Linked DNA regions of Schizosaccharomyces pombe. Changing the gene in region 1 together with any one later gene gives a genetic interaction. Each region holds a gene or a part of one and is shown on either strand. Other genes may lie near its edges.

Region 1 (4,355 bases):
CGTTTCTTTTTTTCCCTTTTCGCTGATGGCGGATTGGGGCTAGAAACGATTTTGTCAGGAGAGGGTTGAGGTTGAGAAACTGGTTCAACATTGCTTGTAGGTACTGTTGAACGGGTGTGCTTTCGCTTCGGTTTCTTAGCATGCTGTTCTTTAATGTCAGGAGTGGCTCTAGAAGCTTGAGCCAATGGTCTGGTTTCTGAAAAGTCTATCAAATCTTTTTTAGTGGGAGAGGATAAGTCTTCTGAAGGTTTAGTAGAAGTTTCCTCAGCCGTAACTCGACTATCAGCAACTGACGCATTTTCTTTAGAAGCATTATAAGCAGCCATTTCTTCTTCGTAGGCTTCTCGAAGTTTAGAAGCTTCTTCTTCGTAAGTTTTCCGATCATCTTCAGATAGCGAGCCCCACTTTTCATGCATCGCTTTATTCACCTCTTTAACATCGTTACTCTTCTCGCCCAAAGACTCCTTGATTTCCGATCGTTGGTTCTTCTGAAAGAGATTATAGGCTGATGGAGGGCGCTTTGGTTGTGCAGGATCCCTAGCCTTGCGCTTGTTTGGGGTCATGGAGGCTACAGCTTCCGACGTATCGACTGCGGAGGTTGCCTCAACAGGAGCTACTGCTGCAGGAGTAGCTTTCTTAGGTGAAGTTGCTTTTTTAGAAGGAGACTCAATTGCCATATTAATCTCTTTCTTCGCATTTGATGGATCAGTGACGGCTGGCTTAAAAGGTTTCGAAACCTCGGACTTCTCTCCTAATATCGAAGGAAGTGATTCTTCGATCTCACGGCATGCGGTTAAAGCTAACTGAAAAGCTTCCGCCAACCTTGTGAAAGAACCAGAAATCTAAGACGGCAATTTGTTAGATAAAAACCAAAAACCAAGCGGATAACTAAAGAAAATTTTGCATTTAATCATCAAACTTTTCAACCAATTAAAAAAGATTATTTTTAGTAAATACTTGATTTAAATCAATTTTTTGAATCATAAAACATTATGTTGGTTCAAAACACCAAAACTCTTTAAAATATCACATACCTTTTCCAGTTGGGTTGAGTTTTGAGCCATCGTACTACTTAAAAAATATTCAAAGTTTCTAATACAACTAAAGCTTCAATACGATGGCAAATACAGGAAATGGTGGCTGACCTACCGGGGTGATGGCGGGAATTTAAATCTTAGCGGTTATGACGGTGGGTGGTTGGTTAATGCTGGAAATGCGAAGCAGATGAAATTGCTTCAGTTAAACCCACCAGTTCGGTTGAGCTTTCTTCACATTTTATTATTATTACAGTTTATAGTTATTTAATATATGTGACAATTGTTATTGTTGAAATTACGATGGTTCAGTGAGATATTTCTTCATGTGATTCTGTTGAGTGATATAATGAAAATTACAAAAGACAATTGTAGTAAATTAAATATATAATAGGAAAATATGAGAAAATCTACAACCGAGAAAAATTTTTTTTTTTTTTTTTTTTTTTTTTCTTTTTCTAATCTCAATCCACTAAATTTGCTGAGACTTACAGTCAAATAATGTCCCATAAATGGAAAGAATAGCAATAAAAACATCCAAAATTTAAAAAAAAAAAATGATAAAACATTTTCTTGTAAATATTTACCTCTTAATTAAGTATAAACAAATCCTATTCCATTGACTCGTAGATCTATTTCATGATATCTTGTGAAGCTGCAACTCTGTTTATCTAGTTCTTGCGCTAGACCAATTGGTTTAGAAACTATTAAATTTAAGATAAATTTAATTTTAAACAAACCAAAGATCACTTATAGTGTTCAAAATACTTCGCAAAGCATATTGCTTTTGCGATGGATTCACTATGAATAAAATATATTGCTGTTTAATTTGGTTTGAGATATCATATTCGTAGCAATTCAACGCTGTTCTTGATTAATATTTCTGAGCACCGTTATAACAATGTAACAAGTGGTATACTAGACTTCGCTAAAAGTACGCCATCATCGAAATCCGGTATAAAAAATCACCACCTCAGTAATGAATTTTTTCGGGGGAGAGAGACATATGTAAATGTTGTATTGTTCACGATTTAAATTTTTTTGGGATGTCCTCCGAACAACAAAATGAAGCTGATTCGAAACCCGCGGTGATTCCTCAATGTTTTAAAATTGAAAATCAATACGAGACCTTTTCCCGTCTGAGTGAAACGTCAACTCCTGGTGTTGTACCGTCTGTGTCGACATTATGGCGGCTTCTGTTTGAGCTGCAAAAAATGATTGAGTGTGAACCGTCTTGTGTAGAATATTTTCGCCAGCGCAAAGAAGAGTTAGAGTCTCATGTCGATTCTGAAATAGAAACCTCAAAAGACGAATCGTCGGTTAATAAAGTGGAAGAAAAAGTAGAAGAATTTAAAGAAGACAACGTTGAACAAGAAATAAAGCAAAAGCGTTCTCTTTCCGAAAGTCCACAAGAGTCTATGCTAGAAAAAGTTTCCAAGAAGCCCAAAGTTTCAGAGGCCCATAATGAAGAAATCAGTCCCGAAAATGTGGAAACAATTGAGAATGAATTAGATTTACCGGTTAAGGGTAAAGATGAACAGACAACTGGGTTGGTATATAAAAACGCAAACGATCTTCTAACCGGTTCATTACTATCTTTCATTGTTGACGATTCCTTCTCTTATGAACAAAAAAAGAAGCTTTTATGTGTAGATTCCTTTCCAACCAGTGATGTACGATCGTTGGTGGCAGGAACTCCGGCGACTGATGATTTTTCTCACAACAAGCCAAATAACCAGATTTCAATATCAACCTTTTATTCGTCACTTGACCCATATTTTCGTGCTTTCAATGATGATGATATTGCTTTTTTAAAAAAAGGATTTGACGTTTCGTCTTCCTATAATATTCCTCCTTTGGGGGAACGCTATTACGATTTAACTCCGGAAGATGAAATGACCAACCTGTGTGCTAACTCAATTTACCAAAACCTGCAAACCTCTGCTCAAGGATCCCTTGAAGCTTTTAATGAGGCAGATACCGTCTCTGAGGAAGTTAGGTGTGGTCCACTCACTGAACGACTAATGGCTTCATTAATTCCTTGCTACACGCAGAATGATGAGGAGCAAAAACCTTCTATTGCTGTTGGCGAATTTGCGGAAACCGATTCTGGATCCGAGAAAAGCAAAATTGGTACAAGCATTGATGGAATCGAGTCAGGAAATAATGAATATACAGAACAACCGGATATACAAGAGTCGAGTCTTTCAATTTGTGAGGACCGCCTTCGTTACACCCTAAAACAACTAGGTATACTTTATGATGGCGATGTAGATTGGTCAAAGCGACAGGATGATGAAATTTCAGCTACCTTAAGGAGTTTGAATGCTCGTTTGAAGGTAGTTTCTGATGAAAACGAAAAAATGAGGAATGCGCTGTTACAGATGCTTCCTGAGGAAATGGCATTTCAAGAATTCCAAAATGTGATGGATGATCTAGATAAACAAATCGAACAAGCGTATGTCAAACGTAACAGAAGTTTGAAGGTTAAAAAGAAACGTATTGTTACTGATAAAATTGGCTCTTCAGCTACGAGCGGCTCTTTTCCTGTCATCAAATCATTGATGGACAAGCGCTCAATGTGGTTAGAAAAGCTTCAACCTTTATTTCAGGATAAGCTTACGCAACACCTTGGTTCGCCAACTTCTATTTTTAATGATTTATCGGACCACACTACATCTAATTACAGTACATCTGTATGAAGCGTTTAAAATTTGAAAGTGTATATACTGTAATTCTATCATTGTGATCTAATTTAATTGCTTGCTTTAGTGAATAAAATTTGCATGAAATAATAATAATACTTTTAACCGTAGAATAGATTGATGTGCTCACTAAAATATGATAGGAAGATTACTTAAATGCACTTATAAACATGATTCATGAAGAAAACAAAAAGGCCAAAAAGAAGAATGATTGATAGATAAAATACGTCCATCACTTTTTGAAGCAAAACACCTAAAGTAAAATTTTAAATCCATTCAAACTCACCATTCGCCTTGAAAAATAAGTAATCTTTTCCATTAACGCCAACTACGCCATCTCTGAACACACATTTCCATTTATTTTTGTGGTGGTTCACTTTGTCATAAAGACAAAGAACGATAGCCTGTCCAATATCAGAACCTTCTTCAGTTTCGGGAGCCTCATCTGAATCAGGATCGTCTAAATCTGAGTTAATTGCTTCGTCAGAAGGCGTATCAACAGGTGGCTTTTTTTCATCTTCGTTATCTTCTATAGTGCCGTCAATTTGCAAAATGCGATTCTTTTTCAAAACTTCATAAATTTCAGCATCAGCTTTCTGTGCAATAGCAAATCTAT
Region 2 (4,781 bases), on another chromosome or scaffold:
GACGATGTTATCAACACACATGTTCGTTTCCCGACCTTGACTGCTAATATTCGTCAAAGGCGCGGGAGAAAAGTGGCCATGAATGTTCCGATTTTCTTCGATAAAAATACAATTAAACCATTTCACGATCCTACCGTTCCTTGGGATAGAAATTTGTTTCCTGAAGATGCAAATGCACGAGATGGTGCAGCGTTAGACAATCATATTTACATGGACAGTATGGGTTTCGGTATGGGATGCTGTTGTCTACAAATTACATTCCAAGCTAAAAGTTGTGATGAAGCTAGACTTTTATACGATCAGTTGACTCCTATTACCCCCTTGATGCTGGCATTATCTGCCGGAACTCCAGCATTTCGAGGCTATTTGGCTGATCAAGATTGTAGATGGAATGTGATTGCTGGTGCTGTCGATGATCGAACCGAGGAAGAAATGAAAACTGTGCCAAAATCAAGGTATGATTCTGTTGACTTATATATCTCGAATGACAAGCGCAATTTACCGGAATATAATGACGTCCCGGTCGTTATAAATCAAGATTGCTACGATAAGCTAATAAAAGATTGCATTGATGAAAGATTGGCTAAGCACATGGCTCACATATTCTCTCGTGATCCTTTGGTTATTTTCAGTGACAGCATTTTACAAGACAACAGTGTATCCAATGCTCATTTTGAGAACCTAAACTCAACTAACTGGCAATCTATGCGCTTTAAACCTCCTCCACCAGGTAGTGATATTGGTTGGCGTGTAGAATTTAGATCAATGGAAATTCAAATAACTGATTTTGAAAATGCGGCATATTCAATTTTTGTTGTGATGCTTTCTCGTGCAATTCTATCCTTCAATTTGAATCTGTACATGCCGATATCGCTAGTGGATGAAAACATGAAAGCTGCTCATGCTCGTGATGCCATTCATCGTAAAAAGTTTTGGTTCCGTTGCAATCCATTTCCTGACGCAAGTACTGATGATGAATCTGGTCAGTTCCGTCAACTTACAATTGACGAGTTATTTAATGGTGAGCACCGTGAAAACGGATTCCCAGGTTTAATTACCATTGTTCGAAGCTATTTATACTCTTGTAATCCTGATGCCAAAACTATTTGCCTAATTGAACGTTATATTCGCCTAATTTCTCAAAGAGCAAATGGCCAATGCTTGACTGCTGCTTCGTGGATACGCAATTTCATTACAACTCATCCTTCTTATAAGCAAGACAGCGTGGTCAACGACGAAATTAATTATGATTTAATTAGAAGAATAGCAAAAATTGTAGATGGCGACTACGACGATACGTTACTTGGAAAATGCTCATAATGCAGATGAATTCTGAGTGGAATATATATAAGATTTTTTTCTACTTAATAACATATCTAAAATTTTGGTAATTTAAATTCCTTTGCAATTCAGTATTACAAGTGTAGTTCTTTGGCAACTGAGACTTCCCATTGATTCCTTTCATTAAGTGAATACTCATTATTTAATTAGTGCTAATATATATTCAGTAACTACATAGTTGATTTTCTGTATTGCCCCACCCTTCCCTATTGTTATGTGTATACGCAGGTAGGGTGAGCGAACGCAATGCATGCACCCTTTTAAGAGTCCGCGCTACGCATTTTAACTGCCTTTTGCTGTAATGGCTCCACGTTCTTCCGCAGTACATGTTGCCGTTTATTCTGGGGTTGAAGTCTATGAATGCTTTATTAAAGGTGTCTCTGTGATGCGCAGACGCCGCGATTCCTGGTTGAATGCTACACAAATCTTGAAAGTGGCTGACTTTGACAAACCACAAAGGACAAGGGTTTTAGAAAGACAAGTACAGATTGGTGCGCATGAAAAAGTACAAGGTGGATATGGAAAATATCAGGGTAAGTTGTCTACTGTTACGCGTTGTGACATGATTTGCTATCTTTGAACAACGCGAACAATTGAGTGTTTACTAAGCCAAATCGAGGTATTTTAATACCTTTTTGTATTAAATATCTCTATGGACGCGTCCTCTAAATGATTGACGGTATTAACCAAACTATAGGAACTTGGGTTCCATTTCAGCGTGGGGTCGACCTGGCCACAAAGTATAAGGTTGACGGAATAATGAGCCCAATATTGAGTCTTGACATTGATGAGGGAAAAGCAATTGCTCCAAAGAAGAAGCAGACCAAGCAGAAAAAGCCTTCTGTACGTGGCCGTAGAGGCCGTAAACCGTCGTCACTTTCTAGTAGCACTTTGCATTCCGTCAATGAAAAACAACCGAATTCTTCTATATCACCAACAATTGAGTCATCTATGAATAAAGTGAATTTGCCTGGTGCAGAGGAGCAAGTTTCTGCAACACCTCTGCCAGCGTCTCCTAATGCACTGCTATCACCAAATGATAACACTATAAAACCTGTTGAAGAGTTAGGCATGTTGGAGGCACCGCTTGACAAATATGAAGAGTCACTACTTGACTTCTTTCTTCACCCAGAAGAGGGACGCATTCCTTCCTTCCTGTATTCGCCGCCCCCGGATTTTCAAGTTAACAGTGTTATTGATGATGATGGCCACACTTCTCTTCATTGGGCATGCTCAATGGGACATATAGAGATGATTAAGTTATTACTGAGAGCCAATGCTGACATTGGCGTGTGTAACAGACTGAGTCAAACACCATTGATGAGGAGTGTTATCTTTACCAATAATTATGACTGCCAAACTTTTGGACAAGTGCTTGAGCTTCTCCAGTCTACTATTTATGCTGTTGACACCAATGGTCAGTCAATTTTTCATCATATTGTGCAATCAACCTCAACTCCTTCAAAAGTTGCAGCGGCCAAATACTATTTGGATTGCATATTAGAGAAACTAATATCGATTCAACCATTTGAAAATGTTGTGAGATTGGTAAATCTACAAGATTCAAATGGAGATACCTCTCTATTAATTGCTGCTCGAAATGGAGCCATGGATTGTGTAAACTCTTTATTAAGTTATAACGCCAATCCTTCTATTCCTAACCGACAAAGACGTACAGCTTCCGAGTATCTTTTGGAAGCTGACAAAAAGCCACATTCATTGTTACAGTCAAACTCAAATGCTTCGCATAGTGCTTTTTCATTTTCCGGAATAAGCCCTGCTATTATCTCGCCATCATGCTCATCGCATGCTTTTGTTAAGGCAATTCCTTCAATATCTTCGAAATTTTCTCAATTAGCAGAGGAGTATGAATCTCAGCTTCGAGAAAAAGAAGAAGATTTGATTAGAGCGAATCGTCTCAAGCAAGACACGCTTAATGAAATTTCCAGAACTTATCAGGAATTGACCTTTCTGCAGAAAAATAACCCCACTTATAGTCAATCTATGGAAAACTTGATTCGAGAGGCCCAAGAAACTTACCAGCAGCTTTCGAAGAGGTTACTAATATGGTTGGAAGCACGACAAATCTTTGATTTAGAGAGAAGCCTCAAGCCACATACTTCATTATCTATTAGTTTTCCTTCCGACTTTTTAAAAAAGGAAGACGGACTTTCGTTAAATAACGATTTTAAAAAGCCGGCTTGCAACAACGTGACCAATTCTGATGAATATGAGCAATTAATTAATAAGTTAACTTCTCTCCAAGCTTCCCGCAAAAAAGATACTTTGTATATTAGAAAATTGTATGAAGAACTAGGAATTGATGATACAGTTAATAGTTACCGTCGTCTTATTGCAATGAGTTGTGGCATCAACCCTGAAGATTTGAGTTTGGAAATACTCGATGCTGTGGAAGAAGCATTAACCCGAGAAAAATGAATCTTGGAAACTTTCATTTACATCTTGTCTTAATGTTACGTTCTTTATTTAATGATACGAGTTATGATAGTTAATGATTTTATCCATGACACTCACTGTCAAACTGCATTTATCAACGTTATCATACTTTGATAGAAAAACACGAGTTATTTTATATATTATTTTCGAATGGAATCAAGTGGAAAAAACATATATTGCTCCTTCCTAACAAAACTATTATGTTACTTATTTATGCGCAGCTAAAACAATCTACTATTGTAAAATGATTTATCTCATTTACAGCGCGTGCTTCCATTCATGATTCATCCTTTTTGCATTCGCACGTTAATGATCATCTAAAGGATACCAAGTTACTGAGCTTCACTTTAATTTGAGGGTCCTGTTCAAATAGGTAAAAGAGTGATTAATACAAATAATCAATTATTTAATTGAAAGAAAATCTATAGCAGTATTTCTCGTAAATACGATATAAAAATATGTAACCTATAAACGCAGAAATCGCGTTTTTTTGAATACATTTATTATGTTTACTTAGCATACATAAATTTAATAACGCTGTTGGAATACACAATTTGAATTAACGTACTGGTTTAACTAGAGGACGTTAGTGCAGCCTTTCCCCAGCAGCTACCATACTTACTTTAGTCGTGTATATGTATAATTGAAAATTTCAACAATCTTTTATTTTTGTTCCTTCGTTGAAATATCTACTAAAATATTTTAACTTTGATAATTAAGTATTGCATAAGGAAATGGATGCGTTGAAACTTTTGACAACTAATGTCAAATTTAAGAATAAAGTACCTCAACCTTCTATAAAAGAAAAAGAAGCAAAAAAATTACAAGGTATTACTAAGGGAAAAGCTAAAGTTACTGGTAATAATCCTGTTGATCCAATTGAAGAGTTTCCGGAAGGAATACTTTGTGAAAACTTAAAAAAACAAAACATAACAGAATGTACCACAATTCAAAGATATGCCATTCCAACGATAGGTTCTAAA
Region 3 (6,392 bases), on another chromosome or scaffold:
CATATACATATGGCTTATCCTTGCTTTGTTTCGCATGAAGAGTAATGGTTTCATATGGAATTTTCCAGCCAGAATTCTGTTCTTCATCAAAAAGGATAAAGCTCTGTGAAGTTACTAATAAAGTTATCAATTTGCCCAAAGGAAAACTTTCCTCATCACTTCTAATTTTATAGGGGACTGTTTTTTCTTCAAAATAAACGATTTCTTGATTTGGCAACAACTTTTCACCATTTTCAACTTTGCGAATTAGGTCCTTTGGAAGTGAGTCAATTTTGGTAATCATAATTACTTCTTGCTTCCAATAGGTATTTAAGCATAAAAATTATTAAAAAACAGTAATAAGGCCACCTCTACCTGATAATTTATTGAAAGAAAAGGTTTACTGTGCGTTGTATTCTTTTGAAGTACTCAAATACAATATCTTCGCATATTAAGCATTTCGCAAAATCGAAAATATATTTCTACTCTTAACCACACGAATTTTTTATAAATTGAACCATTATGCCAAACAGGATATCGATTTTACTCAAATACTTTTGATATGCAATTTTCGTAAATGACAAGCTAGTTATTCATTGCAATTACAAAACAAACTCATGAATATAAATAGTTTTGTGGAAAAAATAAAGGAAAGGTCTAAGGTCTTTATGAAGTAATCCTCGTTACCCAAAAAATTGGGACTCAAAACTTTTGAAATTGGATTTTTTATTTTATATAGTAAACAGATTTATAAGTGTAGCGAAATAAAGCTAAGAATTTTTTAGCAACCAATTCATTGCTATATAAGGTTATACATTGATTTGGATACATGTAATGAATTAGCATCAGTGGATCGTTTCTCTCATAAAGGTGGGTCTTTCTAAAGTATACGAGATTGACTTTCAAACACCAACTTTCCAAATCAAACTTCGAAAGACTTTTTTAAAGCTAGTGACAAGGTTGGAGCAGAAGATTCTCCAAGCCAGTTTTTAGTTAATTAATAGAATGAAAACAAATCGAAAAGTTCAAAAATCAAAATTAGCAAGGCAAGATTCTGGTCATCAGTATATAATTAAATGATGGCAGTATGTGGATGCAAATCCTCCAAGATAATTTTTTAGTGAACAATTTAATCAATAAATTTTCAAAGTAAGATACCATAACATGCATGCAGGGTTTTCTTCAAATATTTTTTAGGACAAAAGTATACTTTAATTTACGCATTGAATTTAAGAATCACTTGTTGCGTAAACTGGAATCGTGGTTGACACTACTTGGCAGCTGTAAATACAGCAAATCGAGTTTGTCAAGTATAGATTTTGTGGCATTCTCCATTGAGTTAGAACTGTTTTCAGGAGATGCAACTTTCATGATATTTCCATGTTGTTTGTACACTTTAGAGGTTGTAAATAAAGAGGGAGTAGCCATTAAACCTTTTTCATCAAATGACAAAGTATAAAGCCAAACAAGACTTTGAAACCAATTATTCATAGGGACACTCCAAATAAAGTAGCGAAAATTGGGAACTCGAGGATGTACATCATTTAGCACAGAGTTAGCTAATAGTTTAACAGCTTCGTCAGTAGTTGATAATTCTTCATTCATTTTCTTGTATACAGGTAGAGAAAACTGAGATATAATGGCTAGAATAGAATCCAATTCAAGTCTTGAATGCCAAGAATTAAACCACGAGTTGGAAGGTGCAAACAAATTTGAGTCAATTTCTAAATCTTTTCCAAACGGATTGGATGCACATTTTTTAATAAGTTCTGAACTAGAAACATTTTCCGGTATTTTCCCACGCAACTTTCTAGACAGAACCAATGGAGAATCTGAGAATACATCTTGAAGGACTGTCGGGACAGAAATCGAAACATTTCTACTCGAAATATGTGATAAGCCACCGCGTGAACTACTGCTACTAAAAGGGGAGGAAAATTTATCTAATTCATCGAAAGGTGAATCATCTTCAACGGTAGCAACTTTTTTAAAGTCAGTATTTTGGAGTGGTGTTCCATCTAAGGAGGTGTTATCGGATGATTTAGATTCAAAATCACTACTTCCTTCCGAATTGAGGGCCACTAAAGGCTGTGATTTAGTCTGAGCAACGGCAGGAAGTTTCATAGAATTAAGATTCAAAAAAACTTGCTGGAGGCGAATAATAGAATAACTGAGATTAGGGTTTTGAGAAAACTTGTTTTCAACTATACTAGAAATAGCCTGTAACAGGTATTCAAGAAGCAGATGATTGCGCGGATTACGAAAAAGAAACCGAGGAGATGAAAGAGATGAACAGAGTTGCATTAATTTGGCACACGTAACGAAACTTAGGTTTTCAACAAATGGTGCAATATTGCATATGGTCAACAATATAACAGGAGATAAACTGCTAAACGGAGATCTCTTCACTGCTGAAATATGAAAGCTAGACTGGAAGGCGTAAGTAATAAAATTAAAATAAACAATTAATCGTGAATCTTACGATAATCAAAAACTCTGCATAAGACATTGGTGGGACTGAGAACCCAAGGGAAGACATCAATGATTGTGCATTCATACAGTTTCTATTTAGTTTTTCACAAAGAACCTTCTCGCATGATAAATAATGAACGATAAAAAGGCAAATGCGAACAAGGCCGGAATGTTCATTGTCTTCACGATATCTAAGTGCATAAAACTGAATAGAAGTTAAAAACTCCGTAGCATAAGGAGAAGTGATCAAAAATGCTCGGAAACGCTGTTTTAAATTAGTTAGCAAATATAATGAACGCGTAACAACATAAATTAAACAACTGTACAAATAATGTAATATATATAAAAGGACCGTTGAACATACTTTATTATATAAAATTGCTTGCCAAAGAAACAAAATAATTTCCGGAAACGCGATATTAGGCTTTTGTACAATTGAAATATAGGCAGAGATAGCGGAAACTGGTGCATTCAATAGCCGATATAGTTCGTTAACTAAAAATTCATAATCAGCTTGTAATTGAAGTCGAGAAAAATATAATCTATACTGATTTTCGATAGCAGCGCCAGGAGAAAGATTGAGTCTCTGTCTGAAGTATTCGACTGTTGTTTCATGAGGGGTGTGATCTAAAAAAAGCAAAAGGATTTGAGAAGTAAGTTTTGAGAGTGCAATGCTAGAATCATTATAAGGTACTAGAGTTGAATACGAAGCCTTCCAGCTATCAGGTCTAAGTCGCAAAGTCTAAAAACTAAGTTAGTTGTACAACAAAAAAAGGTAAATTTTAAGCCAAAACTTACAGTATTTATAAGGGAATAAAGAAAAACTAGTATAAGCTGCTTATTTGCTACACAGGTCAAATAAGTAAGGGTGTGAGAAGCTACTTCAGAAGATCGATACAGCCTTTTAGAAATCAATACTAACAGCAAACGAAGAACCTCAATGCGATTAAACGCAAGTTCCTTTGTGGTTTTCTCTTGGGTTTCTGTTGTACCAATTCCATTTTCCCTGCAAAAGTGATTAGTTAACACATTGCATTTAACCAAATATAAAAAAGCAAACGAAAAACAAAAAAAAAATATATATATATATACATATATACTTACCATATAATGTATGCATATTGCTCAGGACTTGAAAGAGGAAGCGTAAAGCCTCTGCAAAAAAGCAAACGAAAGACGGTGTCCAGCAATTCCTCCATTAAAGTTTTTTCATGAGTAAAAGTTTCTTCAATAGAGCCAATTTCTTTGATTGTGCTAGAACCACCTACTGATACGTCAGCGGCAGAGACGTCTGAAGAAGCATCAAGGGAGATGGAAGAAGCAGGAAAGGTGCTCACAGGAGATAATGGGACTGAAGGAGACTTCTGCGAGAATTCGTTCTTTTGGGAGATGGAATTTTCAAAATCTAGATCGTCTTGAAAATTACTAAGGTCTAATTCGGAATTTTCCTTTGGTAAATTTCTCTTCTTTCTAAGGCTCCACCAAAACTTTTGATGCCATTCTTCTAAATCGAGTTTCTCATTCAAAAAAGGAATGATTCTAGTAAGTAGGCGAATGCAGTTTAACGCTTCACTCGCTGGTGCCGTTTCAGGATTTGGAAACTTTTTGTCATTTTTCAACGCAAACAAACGAGATGTCAATACAAGCAGCAATTTTTCAAGGTTTACAAAGGCATGATCCCTCATCTCACGAATGAGACCTGGGGGAAAAAAATCGTAAACTTCTGGACAACTTTCAGGTACACTCCAAAGCTAATAAACATAAAAACGAATACATTAGTAAAAGCGTCTTACACAAGTTAATAAAAAAAATTTCATACAGAAACCCAAACTTCATCATCCAACGGTATATCCTACTAGAATTAGCTTGCAATGTTCTCTTAGCGTATCATCCACCCATAAACACAAACCGTACCGGTTGAGAAGCTAATCTTGCAATTCCTCGCTGAAATGCCAATCTAAACAGTTAGCTCATACGAAAATTTCGCAATGTTACTTACTTTGACTCTTGGCCTCCCATATTCTCTAATTAGATGCGAAAACCGTAAAGTGCTCTTGACAAACGCTGCAGCTTCATCGATAATCGTTAGGTACTAGTAGACCCGTCCATGTGTATACTTTATTCGCGCGCTAAGTTTCCAAAAGATGCATTATTTCATATTGCGAAATTTTATTATTGCTCGAGTTAATTTGTTAGCTCTACCGTACATTTAATGATCGTTAGCATTACGACGAATTTTCACATTTACAGTCAATGCACTATGACTCACTATTTGGTAAACACTTTTTAGCAAACTGCAATTTGTTAGGAGGCAGGGTAAGGAAAACAATTGATTACCATCACGAAATGAGAATTAAGGAAGAAATACAGCTTGTCAAAGAGACTTCAGCTACCTGCTGAACTGCATTTAAATGTTTGTGAGTTTTTGGTTTCTACTCGTTATCTCATAATTACCGTGCCATCAGATAAACCTCAAAGGTTTCTCAGTTATAAAAAAAACAAGGAAACTGTATAGCTGTAAACAATTCATCTACTGTATAACTCACGCGGCAAAACCACATGAGACATCTGTCGAAGCAAACAATGATATATTTACATGTTCAGTAGATGAATCGCTAGACTATGCCGTGATATGTTAGAGTTCCTTATATTATATACAATGAAGTACATTATAAATGGCTGTATTCAAATTTTAGCTATTTCTGTAAAATAAACAAAGCAGCTATCTATTTTGAAGTGAGATTTTTTTCCAATTTATAATAATTTCAATTATAAAAGGTGCTCTTTTTCTACTCTCAATGTACTTGAAATGTCATATATGTATTTGATATCGTCAAAATTGTCAATAGCAAGATAACTAAATAAATGAGATGATAAAGATCTTATTAATTAACTTGGTAGATGATTTTTCCTACTTTTTCCTTTAATCCTATAGCTGATTAACAGGTAATTATTAACAAAAAAATGACTTTTCTTCCATTCTTCTGATTGTTTCAACTCCACTCTGTTATTATGTATCTATTCTCTTTTCTTATCGGTATACCGATTTACGTTAGAAAATGGTAAACAGTATAACGAGAAACCCTCGGTTTCGGTTCATATCTGTATAAAATTAGCAGATTAGCGAAAAATGCTGGAAAGAAAATTAATCAAGGTCAGACATGAACTTGAATTCCTTATCTATAATCTAATTTGTACTTAAATAGAATCCTTTTTTTTCGGTCAACTTCGTACTGCGTTCGAATTTTTCTGGTTTGGATTTTTAGTGTTTTGCAAACATACCTTTACCATACACTAATACCCTAAAAATCACTTCGACACCAACTTACCACGAACCAAGTTCGACAATTTTCACCACCGGTTTTGGGAAAATGTCAGTTAGTGTTGCATTAAAAGCAAAGCCCATTGCTTATGGTGCAGTTGCATGTGCAAATTATGTGAATCTGTCTGGTGCAGGAAGCATTTCCGTCAAGTATGAGGACGTTGCTTTATTAGACAAACAAAACAAGGAATCGAACGTCTCCATTCAGCTTAACGGCTCTGATTCTCCTGTATTCGGTTCCAAGTTGGCTTTACAGACTTTCTCTCAAGTCTATCCTAAACTTTTCATTGGCGAAAACGATCGTTCTTTGGTTGAGAGTTGGGTGGAAACTGCCTCTGCCTTAGCTGGTAACCACAACTTTCTTGAGCTTTCTTCACTTCTTGCTCAGTTAGACGACCATTTAATTATGCGCTCTCTTTTTGTGGGTTATTCCCTCACCTCTGCTGATTTTTCTATTTGGGGTGCCTTAAAATCAAACAACATGGCAGCTGGTGCCGTACGCACTGGCCAGTATTTCAACCTTGCTCGTTGGTACAAGTTTATGGATTCTCAAAATGCCGTGAGTGTCACCATGGAAGAATTCACCAAGGCAGTTAATATTAGCAAAAAACAAAAATCT
Region 4 (4,692 bases), 2.3 Mb from region 1:
CCCAGCTATTTACGAACGCGTTCTTGCTGGCTACAATCCTCCTCCCTTTGCTCCCAAGTCTGGTATTAAAATTCAAGTCAATGAAAATGAAGAAGCTCCCGAAACCGCTGCTAATAAAGATAAACAAGAACTGAAATCGATTGCTGACAGTCTACCACCTCCATCCTCTCTTGTGGGTTTTAGACTAACTCCGGCAGAATTTGAAAAGGACGATGACTCTAATCATCACATTGACTTTATAACGGCTGCATCAAATTTGCGTGCCATGAATTACGACATCACACCTGCGGATAGGTTTAAGACGAAGTTTGTTGCCGGTAAAATTGTACCAGCCATGTGTACATCAACTGCTGTCGTTTCAGGACTTGTATGTCTTGAGCTTGTTAAACTTGTTGATGGCAAAAAGAAGATCGAGGAATATAAAAATGGATTTTTCAACCTTGCTATAGGGCTCTTTACATTTTCTGATCCTATTGCTTCTCCGAAAATGAAAGTCAATGGTAAAGAAATCGACAAAATCTGGGATCGCTACAATCTCCCGGACTGCACACTTCAAGAGCTTATTGATTATTTCCAAAAAGAAGAGGGGTTGGAAGTGACCATGCTTTCATCTGGAGTTTCTCTTTTGTATGCTAATTTCCAACCACCTAAGAAACTTGCTGAAAGGTTGCCTCTCAAAATTTCTGAATTGGTTGAGCAAATTACTAAGAAAAAACTAGAACCTTTCCGGAAACACTTGGTGCTTGAAATTTGCTGTGATGATGCCAACGGTGAAGACGTTGAAGTTCCATTTATTTGTATCAAGTTGTAATACCTTTGAGAACCGGTTAATTCCTGGAATTTGCAACATTTAATGCCAATGGCTCTAATAAATTTACTAAATTAGTATTAGCAGTCTTTAAAAAACATTAATAGGCATGTATGAATAATTTATTATTTTTCCTATACTCTTTCTAATTTTTATGAACTAAGATCTGTTATATTTTAAAAAGTATTTTGACATGTAGTAAAATTGTTGTTTTTTTGAGCAATTTTTTTAACGTCGGCGATTGGCATTTACGTAAGTTTCGACTGCTAACCTCCTAATTTACCTAAGAGTATATCTTTACTCGGCTACAAAAGTCTATCGTATACATTATATTAAATTTAACTAGAATTATTGCCAATGTCTACTGCCTCAAAACTTTGTATCGTCGGGGCCGGTGTCTTTAGTGTTTACATGGTTTATTTCGTACATAATAATCAGATTATTGAACGAGAGGTAATATTTACTTATATTAAAGAAAATATGCACCATAGCTAATGTAAGTATAGAAAATGTCGGCGGGAGTTCAAAAAGATGATGAAAGGAAAAGAATTAAAAAAGAAAGGTTTGAAGACCTAAAGCGACAACAAGAGTTACGAAAATTTTACGAAAGCCAGCTACCTGTTGAAGAGGACGAAAAGGGTCTCCGACAGACAACGCAAACAACAGTGAACGACTAAAACCAAGTTTTTAACACAGATTGGACGAATCGAAATTATAGACAGCTTGAAACCTATAGCCTCGGACTTCCAGTGTTCAGCCAATTTATCCAGAGCAACTTATTTACCTTTACTATACATTAATATTTTTTTCATCTTTGCCAGATTTTAAGGATTTAATATTGAGAAATTCAGCTCGGTTAAATAAAAAAGAAGTAACTACATCTAGAAAACGGCATAACAGGGTGTGTTAATCTTAGAGGGTTATAGGCAAAAGAGCTAGTTTTTTGTTAACATTACTCAAAAAGGAAATATAAATCAATTTACATTATGCTATATATTAATGAAATTTACTTTATCCGGTTATTAGTAATATAAACTTGTCATAGTTTACTGGTTATTCGTTATAATGGTTACTACCATCGTAACGAGGTAAGTATGCCGAAGTGTCTTGAGATTCCTTAATGTGCGAATGAAGTGAATGGTGAAGGTAGTTTATGTCTGACAAATTCTAATACATTTCACTAGCTTGTTGAAAGATTTCAAAACTGAGTAAATTTGACCACCACTTAATGGAAATTTTTCTATTCTTTTTATTTTATATAAGCACGTTCATTTTCTAACCTGTTATTTTTCTACTTCATGAAATGAGTTCATCTTCCTCAAAACCCGTGAATACTGGGTTGGTTACACCTCGCCGCTATTCTACAATGACTGGCATACGGACTGGTCCATCTCAGAGTGGAACAGGGAGTATTCCATATTCCCCAACGTCACCATTGTCCCGAAATTTTTCGAACTATTCCATACCTATGCTACGAAGCAATAGCACTCAAACAAATGTAAATGGGCCTACAGCATTTGATTTGGGAGTTACAGAGAAATTGATGTCTCCTGGAACTTTAGATAGATACACGCGTCCTGCCTTGTATCCGTCGAAGGACTTGGATTATTTAAAAAATGAGTATGTTAATTATGAATCTACAACAAGTCAACAAACCAATTCTAAAGGTTTAAAAGAGAGCAACTTTGTTGGTTCAGGAATTATCACAAGTATACGTATTCGACCTATTGGTAAAAACCAAGGTGTATGGTCACATGGCAAGTTAAGCAATGACCCATATGGTCGTGAATACATTCGCCAGCAAACAAGTACAAGCTCGTCCACAATTCAGCAAGAATATCTTTTTAATAATGTTTTTGGGATGGAATCTAAAAATTACGATATATACAAACGTTCTGTTAAGTCGGTTGTCCGTAATGTTTTTTCCGGATATAATGGAATAGTGTTTGCTTATGGAATGACCGGCACAGGAAAAACATATTCTATGCAAGGTACGGAAAACGAACCTGGTATTATTCCACTTGCCATGAATGATTTATTTGAAATGGTTGAAAACAATTCTGATGACGATACCTTTCAAATCCGTATATCCTATTTAGAAATTTATAATGAGAGAATACGAGACTTAATCGGAAACTCGGACGAAGAGCCAAGAATACGCGAAAATGCATCTGGAGAAGTCAATGTTACACCATTAACTCGAGTTCTCGTCACTAGCCCCGAAGAGGTTAGTCAGGTTATTGAACAGTGCAATGCAATCCGAAAAACAGCAGCAACCGATTTCAATACGTATAGTTCTCGTTCGCATGCAATTCTTCAGGTTTTTCTTATTCGAAATAATCCTACTGCTCACACTTCACAAATTTCGAGTCTCAGCTTGGTGGATCTCGCTGGAAGTGAAAGAGCTTCAGCTCACCATGAAAGACGCAAAGAAGGAGCATTTATCAACAAATCTCTTTTAACATTAGGAACTGTTATTTCTAGGTTGTCAGCAGCTGCAAATCCTTCACTTACCTCAAATTCAGGACATATACCGTATCGTGAGTCTAAGTTAACTCGTCTGTTGCAGCAATCTTTATCCGGCCAATCACAAATATCACTTTTAGCAACGATAAGCATAGAATCCAACCATACGATGGAGACTACTAACACGCTTAAATTTGCATCTAGAGCTCAAAATTTGCCTCAAGATATTCGCCAAGCGGAAGCTGTGACTAATGTTCAAGCTGAATTAGCATCTTTACACTCTGCCCTTGAAAAGAATGCCCAAGAAGTTGAATATTATGCTTCTTTGGTGAAGCAATTGACTTCGGACTTAGAGGAACGAGATACATACATTGCCATGTTAGAGGCAGAGCGTTCGCAAGGAACTGCTATAAGTAGAGCTCGTTTACGAATGGAGGAATTGCTTTCTGACCATAATTTCGAAATTGCAGATCTAAGAGATGAATTACAAGATAAAGAACAAATTATTTATGCTCTTCGATATGCTCAGAAGCAACGGGATATTGCCGATTTCAATCAATCGCTTGCTAAATTCCCTCACAAAATCTTAAAGAAAAATGTTACTAGGGGAAGCAGAAGCTCCTCTGATCAGTTCAGTAATGAAACTAAAACTGAAATTTTGCCAGACGATCAACAGCAATCGAAAAAGGATTCTGTGACTCAGGAAACGCAACTTCTTTCTTGATACCTTGTTTAATTATAGGCGTCTTCTCATCAACCTTGTTTACAATTTTATACCCATTCAACCTGTATGTCTCCTTAAATTACTTTAACGATACGATGTTTCTTTACTAAACAGGCCGGTTCGCAGTTGCATCTCTTTCTTTTGCATAATATTTTGGAATTTTCGGGGATTTTTTCCAATAATTTGTAATGACACATTGTAATAAATCCTTAATTTGCATAGGTTGGCTTCTCTATGCAAAATTTTATTAAATTTGCGACGACCTGCTACAATCATATACTACGTTTGGAATTTTTATCCTCTATACCGTTAACACATCCTTATGGACATTGCAACAAATTTTATAACCAGGAGCCTTTCTGAAATTGCTCCTAATGCATCTCAAAGTTCTCTTCATGTAACACCGTCATCGGTGAGCAACAATGCGTTTGGGCTAAAGCTTCGACAGCTGATCAGTGACACATATTGTCCGCACATATTTATTATGGCATCTGATGACACAGAAAATTTCATGAAGCGTAAAGGATTTGACGATTTTGCATCTTTTATTCGACCGTTCGGAGATCGCATTTTTCAGAGCTCGACAAACAATTCTGCCATTTCAAAGGAAACTTTGGATTCTAGGATTTTTGATAATGATCATGACTCAATTCGCTTTGTTCCTATGGAAGCAGTACAAGTTCCTCGGCAGTGG

Evidence for each region.
Region 2: mutations in ngg1 (region 1) and res2 impair growth when combined (synthetic growth defect), as found in Schizosaccharomyces pombe (2 studies listed by BioGRID, with this or other methods).
Region 3: mutations in ngg1 (region 1) and ftp105 together harm fitness more than expected from each alone (negative genetic interaction), as found in Schizosaccharomyces pombe (2 studies listed by BioGRID).
Region 4: mutations in ngg1 (region 1) and tea2 together harm fitness more than expected from each alone (negative genetic interaction), as found in Schizosaccharomyces pombe (2 studies listed by BioGRID).

Annotation. Positions count from the first base shown.
Region 1 is NC_003423.3:1,586,068-1,590,422, reverse strand, and holds ngg1 (SAGA complex subunit Ngg1/Ada3), read left to right. Parts: upstream 1-2,024; 5' UTR 2,025-2,080; coding exon 2,081-3,736; 3' UTR 3,737-3,831; downstream 3,832-4,355. Other genes in the region: upstream binding transcription factor, RNA polymerase I specific, Hmo1, read right to left, coding at 1-842, 1,035-1,064; transcription factor TFIIA complex large subunit Toa1, read right to left, coding at 4,006-4,355. UniProt on the Schizosaccharomyces pombe protein: Component of the transcription coactivator SAGA complex. SAGA acts as a general cofactor required for essentially all RNA polymerase II transcription. At the promoters, SAGA is required for transcription pre-initiation complex (PIC) recruitment.
Region 2 is NC_003424.3:684,951-689,731, forward strand, and holds res2 (MBF transcription factor complex subunit Res2), read left to right. Parts: upstream 1-1,584; 5' UTR 1,585-1,642; coding exon 1,643-1,874; exon of another isoform or gene 1,875-2,038; coding exon 2,039-3,780; 3' UTR 3,781-4,229; downstream 4,230-4,781. Other genes in the region: glutamate-cysteine ligase Gcs1, read left to right, coding at 1-1,320; ATP-dependent RNA helicase Rok1, read left to right, coding at 4,533-4,781.
Region 3 is NC_003424.3:1,784,516-1,790,907, reverse strand, and holds ftp105 (Ubp5 interacting protein Ftp10), read right to left. Parts: upstream 4,539-6,392; 5' UTR 4,471-4,538; coding exon 4,451-4,470; exon of another isoform or gene 4,409-4,450; coding exon 4,366-4,408; exon of another isoform or gene 4,304-4,365; coding exon 4,271-4,303; exon of another isoform or gene 4,203-4,270; coding exon 3,556-4,202; intron 3,458-3,555; coding exon 3,250-3,457; intron 3,194-3,249; coding exon 2,816-3,193; intron 2,717-2,815; coding exon 2,462-2,716; exon of another isoform or gene 2,410-2,461; coding exon 1,216-2,409; 3' UTR 553-1,215; downstream 1-552. Other genes in the region: protein saf5, read right to left, coding at 1-283; gus1 (glutamate-tRNA ligase), read left to right, coding at 5,823-6,392. UniProt on the Schizosaccharomyces pombe protein: Required for the localization of ubp5 to the Golgi apparatus. Involved in detoxification of cadmium ion.
Region 4 is NC_003423.3:3,891,090-3,895,781, forward strand, and holds tea2 (kinesin family plus-end directed microtubule motor Tea2), read left to right. Parts: upstream 1-1,967; 5' UTR 1,968-2,111; coding exon 2,112-3,998; 3' UTR 3,999-4,167; downstream 4,168-4,692. Other genes in the region: uba1 (ubiquitin-activating enzyme E1), read left to right, coding at 1-811; Pet117 cytochrome c oxidase assemby protein, read left to right, coding at 1,166-1,261, 1,315-1,485; trs8501 (TRAPP complex subunit Trs85), read left to right, coding at 4,321-4,692. UniProt on the Schizosaccharomyces pombe protein: Promotes microtubule growth, possibly through interactions with the microtubule end, and is important for establishing and maintaining polarized growth along the long axis of the cell.